2 linked regions of the Macaca fascicularis genome follow. The protein of the gene in region 2 purifies or fractionates together with the protein of the main gene of each other region. This does not show direct contact. Links are inferred from orthologs where the notes say so. Each region holds a gene or a part of one and is shown on either strand. Other genes may lie near its edges. The genes, in order: RBM25 and PRPF40A.

Region 1 (4,317 bases), on a different chromosome or scaffold from region 2:
GGTCAGTCTGGTCTCGAACTCCTGATCTCATGATCTGCCTGCCTCGGCCTCCCAAAGTGCTGGGATTACAGGCGTGAGCCACTGCGCCAGGCCGTTAATCATTTCTTTTCTTTTCTTTTCTCTTTTTTTTTTTTGAGGCAGAGTCTTGCTGTTGCCCAGGCTGGAGTGCAGGATGCCATCTCGGCTAACTGCAACTTCCGCCTCCCGGGTTCAAGCGATTCTCCTGCCTCAGCTTCCCAAGTAGCTGGGATTACAGGGGCCTGCCACCACCTGCTTATATTTGTATTTTCAGTAGAGACAGGGTTTCGCCATGTTGGCCAGGCTGGCCTCGAACACCTAACCTCAGGTGATCCACCCGCCTCAGCCTCCCAAAGTGCTGGGATTACAGGCGTGAGCCACCGCGCCTGGCCGGTAATCATTTCCTTCACTCTACGAATATTTATTGAGCGCTTGCTATGTACCGGGACCTGTTATTGCACAAAACCGGCAATCCACGCATTGCTTACATTCACATTCTAGTGGGGGTAGTGACGGACCATAAAATCAGTTAGAAAAATGTATGTTATGATAGATGGTTATGAGTACTTTAGAGTAAAATTAAGTAGGAGAGGCAGGCAGGAAGTGTGTAGGTATGTTTCAATTTTATATTAGGATGGGCAGAGTTTGTCATCTATTTCACCTGGTTCACAGTTCCTGCAGGACAGGAACAAATGTCACTTCCATTTGCCTTCATACTTCCAGCACTTAGCACAGCACCAGGAACTCAGGGAGGCAATAACTTTATACTGAATACGTTTTATACCTTCCTAGAAGCAAGCAGTTGAGAAAGGCGTATAACTAGATATTGCCTATAAGGTCCACAATTGGAATAACGTAATCATTTATGATTGATTTTATTCATTTTCATTAACTTAAGCTAAGTTCTTTCAGCACGTTTAGATTACAGAACGAAAGCTGTGTTAACTAGTATTACAGGACTTTTCACGTTTTTCCAAACATCTTCTAGCCACCTCCGGCCCTACAACTACCCATAAGCTTTTGCTTTTCAAAAAACCTCCACAGCCTTTGCCAATTACTTCTAGATCTCGAGTAGTTGTTATAACAACACTTGGGGTTTAACACTGAGGTTGCGTATAGGGCCCAGTTATCAGTTCCTCGAACCTCCAGTAATCACAAAGCAAGGTTCTACACCCCGAAAAACTACGAAAAGTGAGAAATCCTCTAACACTCCTCGCGCCGTGCCCAGCCGGAATCATGACCTCAAGATGGCGTCCCGTAGTCGTAAGATTCAGTCGGCTCCAATCAAACATGGCAGTGTGGGTCATAATTTACAGTTCGGGCCTTTCTAGTAGCTGCTAGACGCTGCTTCTCTATGGTTATTCGTCTCGGCTTGGTGAGTCAGAGTCAACAGGGGAGACGATCTATATACGTTCTTCTCTATGGTTCCGCGCTCCACGCCCCCGGCGCAGTGCACGCCGGGCAAGAGGAAGACCTCCAGCAGCTCCCCGCGCAGCGCGGCTGTATTTGCGGCCTGTGAGAGTAGGCGCTTCGGACCCGTGTCTCCCTGGCGAGCGGCGGGCAGAAATCTTGAACAAGTGGAGCGCACTGGTCACCTGGATTCTAGAAGGCCGCGAAGGCAGTACCGTTTTTTCAGCGGCGGGTGAGTTTGTGTCCCTGAACGCGTGTGGAAACCGGGAGACCGGGTGCCTCAGCTGGTGGAGGAGGAAAAGCCGGGGTGGCTGCGAAAGCGCCAGGGTGGGGTAGAGATAAGGGGGGGGGCGCGGAGGCGGGGGTGGGGGAGGGGTCGGCACGAGGCTTGGTTTCTCCTCTTCTGTAAGGCCTGGAAGACCTGTGGGCCCAGCTGGAGCCCGTGGAGGCCAGACCTATGACTTGAGCTTTCCGTCTTGCATTGTCGCCCGCTTTCCCTTTCCCTTCCACGTTCCGCCGCGCAGTGAATCGTCTCTGCCCCTCCTGGGCTCCACGTTAGACCCAAAACGATCGGTCTGCCCCTGGGGAGCCCTTCCCTGAGCCCCCTTGCTTACGGGAGCCCCACAGTAGGTTTTCGGGCCTGGGGCACTGGCCCCAGCAGTTGCCTTGATGTTAGCCTCCACCCACCCTTTTTAGCGAGGTGCTGGCCACCAACGGATATCTTTCCCTTCCTCTTTGGCCATCTAGAGCCCGCCACCAAGCGAACTGGGCCCCACCCCCTTGGAATTGAGCTAATACCTACCTTTTTAGCACTCCTGGCTTGCTTAAGATGGTCATGAATTTTGCCATCCTGCCTCCTTTGAGCATTGGAGGGTGCAGTAAACTGTATATCGCCATTCATTCTAGGCGATTACTAAGCTCCACGTTAAAATGTTACTTTCTCATTTTTCTTTGGTCGTCAATCATGCTTTTAAATACAGTTTTCCGGAATAGACGTAGGACTGTGAAGATTTTTCGGAAGTTATGTAATATGGATTTGTATTGCCATGGAAATGCCATTTTGATACTGGGCAGAGTGGAGCCAAGAGAAGGGAAGAGATTGGACCTCTGTTGCACCCTACTGCTGTATTAGTGTGAAGTATTGTGTATTAGGCCGTGGGCAGTAATGTATAAACAATTTTTGTATTGTCTTTGGAGCTTTTAATTTTTTTAAAGGCCGTTTCCAAAAACGTTCAGAGGACTTTAAAGGGATTAAATTGGTCGTAAGTTATTCATGATTCACGTGAATCTTACACTATTCTAATTCATTTAACTTAAAGCCTTGGTTTTTCTTTTTTTTCTTTTTAAGCTTTGGTTTTTGTTCCTCTGTAAAATGAATTGATAGTAATATCTATACGTTATTGGGGTTGGAGATTGAGAAAAACGTTATGTAAAATCCTTCGTGCGATATCCAGGTAACACATAGTAAGCATTTAAATCTATATTGACATAATTTTTTATTTAAGAATTTTCAATAAAATGTAAGAGTCCAACCCTGATTCTTGAATTTTTGTTTGTTTGTTTGTTTGTTTGTTTTTTGAGACAGAGTCTTGCTATGTTGCCCAGGCTGGAGTGCAGTGGCGCGATCTCGGCTCACTGCAACCTCCGCCTCGCGGGTTCAAGCGATTCTCCTGCCTCAGCCTCCTGAGTAACTGGGACTACAGGCGCGCGCCCCGACGCCTGGCTAATTTTTGTATTTTTAATAGAGACTGAGGTTTCACTATGTTGGCCAGGATGGTCTCGATTTCCTGACCTCGTGATCCGCCCGCCTTGGCCTTCCAAAGTGCTGGGATTACAGGCGCGAACCACCGTGCTTGGCCTTCTGAATGTATTTTTAAAGTAAAACTAGTCCATGTTAACATTGGCTAACTATTTCAGACCTAACAGGAATTTGGAATTTTCAAGTTATGTTTTTGTCCACAGACAAATTAACAGTTTAGTTTTCTTATTTACACATGATTTAGTGAAAAATTAAATTATTTTATAGCTTTGGAAGCAAAGGAATCATATATGAATCTTTTTTTTTTTTTTTTTTTTTTTTTTTTTTGAGACGGAGTCTCGCTGTGTCGCCCAGGCTGGAGTGCAGTGGCGCGATCTCGGCTCACTGCAAGCTCCGCCTCCTGGGTTTACGCCATTCTCCTGCCTCAGCCTCCTGAGTAGCTGGGACTACAGGCGCCCGCCACCGCGCCCGGCTAATTTTTTGTATTTTTAGTAGAGACGGGGTTTCACCGTGGTCTCGATCTCCTGACCTTGTGATCCGCCCGCCTCGGCCTCCCAAAGTGCTGGGATTACAGGCGTGAGCCACCGCGCCCGGCCTCATATATGCATCTTAACATCTTGCTTTAGAGATTTCTTGATTGACTTTTCAAACACTACCACTGCCGTTCACAAAAGGGATTTTTGATTCTTCTTAAATAGCTTTTCTACCTTTTTTTGAAATTTGAAAGTTGTTGAAACTAAAGGAAGAACAAAATTCCACTACCCAGAATTATTGGTATTGGCTTTTAACTTTTTATATAGACATAATTTCAAATTTACAAAAAAAAGTTGCAAGAATAGTACAAAAGAAATCTCAGATATCTTTCACCAGATTCCTCAAATGTTAACATTTTGCCAATTTGCTTTATCCTTCTCTTCTCTTCATAGGTTTCTTCTGAAATGTTTTGCTAGTAAGTTGCAGATGTGATGCCCCCTAACCCATAAATACTTAAGTGTATTTCCTAAAAATTAGGACTAGTCTTATGTAACAACAGTACAACAATCAAAATAAGGAAACTAACATTGATAAAATACCTAATCTACAGTTCTTAGATTTTGCCGATTTTTCTGAGTTGGTATACTTTTTTTTTT
Region 2 (4,590 bases):
GTTTCGCCTTTTGTTTAATCTTGACAGTATTTCATCCCCCGTGTTTAAGGACTTGAAGATATTTCTTCAAGAGTACCCATTTAATCAAAAGATCTTTTTTAAAAATGGGTCTCCTGATCACGGATCAGGACGCTCCACTTACAAAAGGGCTGGAAAGCAAAGTAAGATGCAAATGAGGACTCTGGGTGAAAGCAGCTGCCACCCTGCGGGCTTAGGCAGCACGAAGGGAGAAGGGTGGTGGCAAGAGCCACACCCTGACTCAACTTTACTCTGGACAGACTTTCAAGGCCTCGGCTTCAATACCTTTCACGATCAAGTAGGCGATGGCGAGGAGGAAGGCGAGAAGGATGGCGAAGAGCAGCGAGCAGAGAATAGAAAGGACCTGGACCGGCCACCGCCGAGGCTGGGTTCTGCTGCCCGCGGCCGCGGGAAAGATACCATTGCGCTTATCTGGCAGGACAGGCGACCCGTCCCCGTCCGGCGGGAGCAGCGAGCCCTTTCTGGGCTCTGACCACGCCCCAGCCGAGAACTCCGCCCGCAGGTCGCGGGCCACTTGGTCGCATCCCTCCTCCTCGTCGACTTCGCCTTCACCCCAACTGTCCCCCTGAGTAAAGGAGGAATATGTTGGCCCAGCCACAGGGCCCGGGGTCCCGGGACGGCGGCGCCGCAGAGCCGACCGCCACCCGCTCTCCGCTAACGACATGGCGCGAAGCACAGCGAAACCCGCGGAGTATGAGCCTCTCCCACCTGCCCCGCCCCGGGTCCGCAACAGCCAATCCGCGGCCGTGGCCGCTACCACCATGCCTCAGAACCCAGGGGTAAACCACGGAGAGCAAGGTTGGGCGGCGGGTTGCAAAGGAAGTCGTAGGGCCTGAGGAGAGGTGGGATGCGCTTGGACCAGAGCTCGACCCCAGGGCTGTAGCCGGAAGGGGGAGCAGGAAAGCGCGCAGCGAGAAGTGGGCGGAGGCCGAAGGCGGCCGAGTATCCACTCCCTGCGGCGCTTCATCCCTGCCGGAGACCTCCGCCACTGCCGCGTCACCAACGGGAGCGCGAGACCCGACAGCCCCAAAGCCGCATCTTTTCGACGCCGGGTCCTAGCGCCCGCCCGCGCCTTCGACACATTCACGAACCTATTTGCCTTCTCCCTTCTTCCCCTCTACGCTCACACTCTTCTCCAGGTTCCCCTATTAAGAAAGGGCAGCTCTCTGCCTGGTACTCTCGCGGTGCCTTCACTGCTCACCCCATCTCCCTTTAGTGTGGTTCTCCCCACCCGTACCACAACTTCCCTCACGCTACTCGACACGCCTCCTTCCTCCTCCACCCAGGCGCGCGCTCTCCACCTGGTGCGTACCGAGCTCGCACCCTCTCCTCGGAACCCCTCCTTTCGCCTTCCCCGCCCCCTCCCCTCCGCCTCGAGCACTGCGCGCGCGCATTCGGTCCCAGCCACCGCTAACACTAGAGGCTGCTTACCCCCGCCCCCTCCACCCTACCCCTGGCGGCCTCAGGTTTGTGGGGCGTACGTAACTCGGGCGGGGAGGGGGAAGGTGGCAGACCCCACTGCCCCACCCCCTACGGGGTGAGGCGGTCTAAGCTCGGGAAGCTGGGACACGGTTGTCTTCCCTTCCCCTGGGGAAGTTGGTAGAGTTTTCCCGACGGAGGACTCGGCGCAGAAACTTCCTCCGTCCTCCCCCCGCCCCATGCAGGCGACGCCGAGTGAGGCTGAGGCTGCGGGCGAATCGCCGCAGAGTTGCGTGTCGGCCGCGCATTCTGATTGGACAGCGGGGAAGCCCGTCAGCCTGTTGGCCTCGCTGATCCCGCCCCGTAGCGCAGGGCAGCCTTTAACCTTTAGCCCCAGTGGGCGCCAGCCACTCAGATCGCTTCTTGTTGGTATGTGTAGCGGCAGTGGCCGCCGGCGGAGCAGTCTGAGCCCGACGATGAGGCCGGGGACGGGAGCTGAACGTGGAGGCCTCATGGTGAGTGAAATGGAGAGCCATCCTCCCTCGCAGGGTCCTGGGGACGGGGAGCGGAGATTGTCCGGCTCAAGCCTCTGCTCCGGCTCTTGGGTCTCTGCTGACGGCTTCCTGAGGAGACGGCCCTCGGTAAGGGATCAGTGGGGCAGGGGGAAGGCGGCACAATGAAAAACGGAGTGAGAGAAACAGGAAGCTTTCTCCGAAAGGAGAAGAAGATAAGAGTGGACGAAGGAAGAACTCGAGATGGTGGGATATGTTGTGAGGGAGAGAAGTGGAGGGTGGGGATGCACAAAGAAGGATGTGAGACCCTGGAAGTACCCCGTAGGCTTGGCCTAGACAGATGCGTGGTGAAGGTGCTGGCTCTTGGGCGGGGTGAGCGTCTTGGAGCTTTAGGCCCGATTTAGCTGGAAGGGGGAGGGAGGGGCTTGATTCTGTAAGACTTTAACAGCGGCTGCCAAAATTTGTTTTCATTACTTGTGGGGTCGTCTGCATGGGGAACTGTTAGGACAATTGACAGGAGATAATTAGCTGGTTTTAATTTAAAACATGGAACAATGGACTCATCGGTAAAGAAAGTAGTTGTCTTTTTAAATTGCGTTGAAAGGGATGAATTAGTTGTTTGCATTTAGTGTCCGTGAGTAACAGAACCTCAGTCTTTAAAAATGTATTTTTGACAGAAGGAATTTTACCTGTCTTAAAGGTTATGTTAGGAAATAAGTTTGTTAGGAGTGAATTGTCCCTGGGTGGCACTACTGTTTGTGTTTTATAAGACTGACTTTCACCTGAGTTAATATGATAGAGCATTTTAAAGTTTAAAATCAGTAGTGTTATAAAATAACAATAGCTGGCTATTTTTTATATTTGCATGAAATAGAAGAATTGTTGTTTTCACTGTAACAGTTTTAAGATTAGTATTCAATATGTATCCTTCAAGCTTAGCAAGCCAGTTAGTAGCTGATTAAGTCAATGCTTAAAAAAAAGAGAAAACCTATGATCCAGCTGTCCAGTAATCATCTTAACTTTTCCCGTTTTGTTGCGGAATTTGCAAGCTCGTTTTAAATACTAGCAGAATGCATTTTGTTTAAAACAAGGTATAGATTAATCCAGTGACATTATTATGCATAAGCTTAATATTAGGTTGCTTCAGATAACTGATTTGTTGAAATGAGATTTTTGAGAAGCGTTTAGTATTATTTGCTCATTTAAAAACGTTCGCTGTTTTTCAGATGGGGCACCCTGGCATGCATTATGCCCCAATGGGAATGCACCCTATGGGTCAGAGAGCGAATATGCCTCCTGTACCTCATGGAATGATGCCACAGATGATGCCCCCTATGGGAGGGCCACCAATGGGACAAGTAAGAATGCTTTTATTTTATTTTGCATTTATTTATTTGTTTTTGCCTCAGGTATTCTGTCAAGATTTCAAAATCTAGGTCAATAGTTATAGCTGTTTAAGGATTAGTTTATGCCCGAATAATTTTAAATAAGCCAAATGTTGAATCATGACTGTAATGGAAATTTGAATGTAATGAAAAAGTCTCCTGAGAAATTTACTGATTACCTCAAAACTAAGAATTTTTTTTTTATTATTACTTAAAAGTAAAGTGTGCGTCCAGGCTTTTATTTTTAATAATTATTTTTTCAACCATGCCAATTGAAGTTAATGGTCTAAAAGTAAATATTATCTGATACAGCAACATAACTGATTTTGGTAGACCATGTAAATAAATAGAATCTGAAAATAGCAATTGTTTTGGTTTAGAGCGAATTTTATTCCTGAAATATCTTCCTCTGTGTGTGTTGGAGGAGAGTGAGGGAGGGTGGGGGGTTTGTGCTCTATAATTCTGATTCTTCATAGGACAGTGCCAGTAGGTACTTCATTTTCCACTTACACTATTTTTTTTTAATGCTTATTGCTTCTACACTCCTGCTTATGAGCTGTCCCTTCCATCTCTAGCATAAATTGTAAATGGACATTTTGTAGAAGTGATTTGGATCAAAAGGTTTTAATGCTGATTCAGTGATTTCGGTAGAACTGAGTTTCTAGAGAAGCATCTAAGAAAGGTAACAGGTTCAGTTACCATGAGTAATTTTGTGCTCCATGTTAAGTTCTATATAGATCTTTAGGTGGCTGGGTTATTTCCATTTGAGTATTTCCATAAATCATCAAAAATTTAGGCTAACAAAATATTTTGGAAGCCAATTTCATGTGATCTTTTGCTAATTAGTACTGTTTGATAATTGTTTAAGCTTTCATGGTTAAAGTTATTGGTGAAATTGCAGTGGGAAAAGGAGCTTGCTATGTGTCTGTCTCTTTTTACTTAACCTTAAGAGTAGAAGGGCTTAATGTCAAGTGATTTTCCTCTTTTTTTTTTAATTTGGAATGTTGCCCTTAATTTTGTTTAAAAAAAAAAAAAAAAACCTTTATTCAAAGACACCAGCCCCAAAAGATTCTGCTTGCAGGAGTTCTTTAAATAAAAGAGCCTTTTATTCTGTGACTTTAGAATAACACAAATTTTAAAACTCTCTAGGTGATGGAGAAACAACTTTGATTCCTCTTCTGTTTCTTTCCATCTCTAAGCAGCAAGGAGCTCTTCTTGTTTTCTTGGTAGAGCTG

Evidence for each region.
Region 1: the proteins of PRPF40A (region 2) and RBM25 purify together in Homo sapiens (affinity purification with mass spectrometry; 5 studies listed by BioGRID and IntAct, with this or other methods). This does not show direct contact. The link is inferred for Macaca fascicularis from reciprocal best matches to the Homo sapiens genes PRPF40A and RBM25.

What each region holds. Positions count from the first base shown.
Region 1 is NC_088381.1:140,948,195-140,952,511, forward strand, and holds the start of RBM25 (RNA-binding protein 25), read left to right. Parts: upstream 1-1,485; 5' UTR 1,486-1,660; intron 1,661-4,317. UniProt on the Homo sapiens protein: RNA-binding protein that acts as a regulator of alternative pre-mRNA splicing. Involved in apoptotic cell death through the regulation of the apoptotic factor BCL2L1 isoform expression.
Region 2 is NC_088386.1:48,223,417-48,228,006, reverse strand, and holds the start of PRPF40A (pre-mRNA-processing factor 40 homolog A), read left to right. Parts: upstream 1-1,514; 5' UTR 1,515-1,697; coding exon 1,698-1,973; coding exon of another isoform or gene 1,974-2,099; intron 2,100-3,196; coding exon 3,197-3,328; intron 3,329-4,590. Other genes in the region: ARL6IP6 (ADP-ribosylation factor-like protein 6-interacting protein 6), read right to left, coding at 304-703.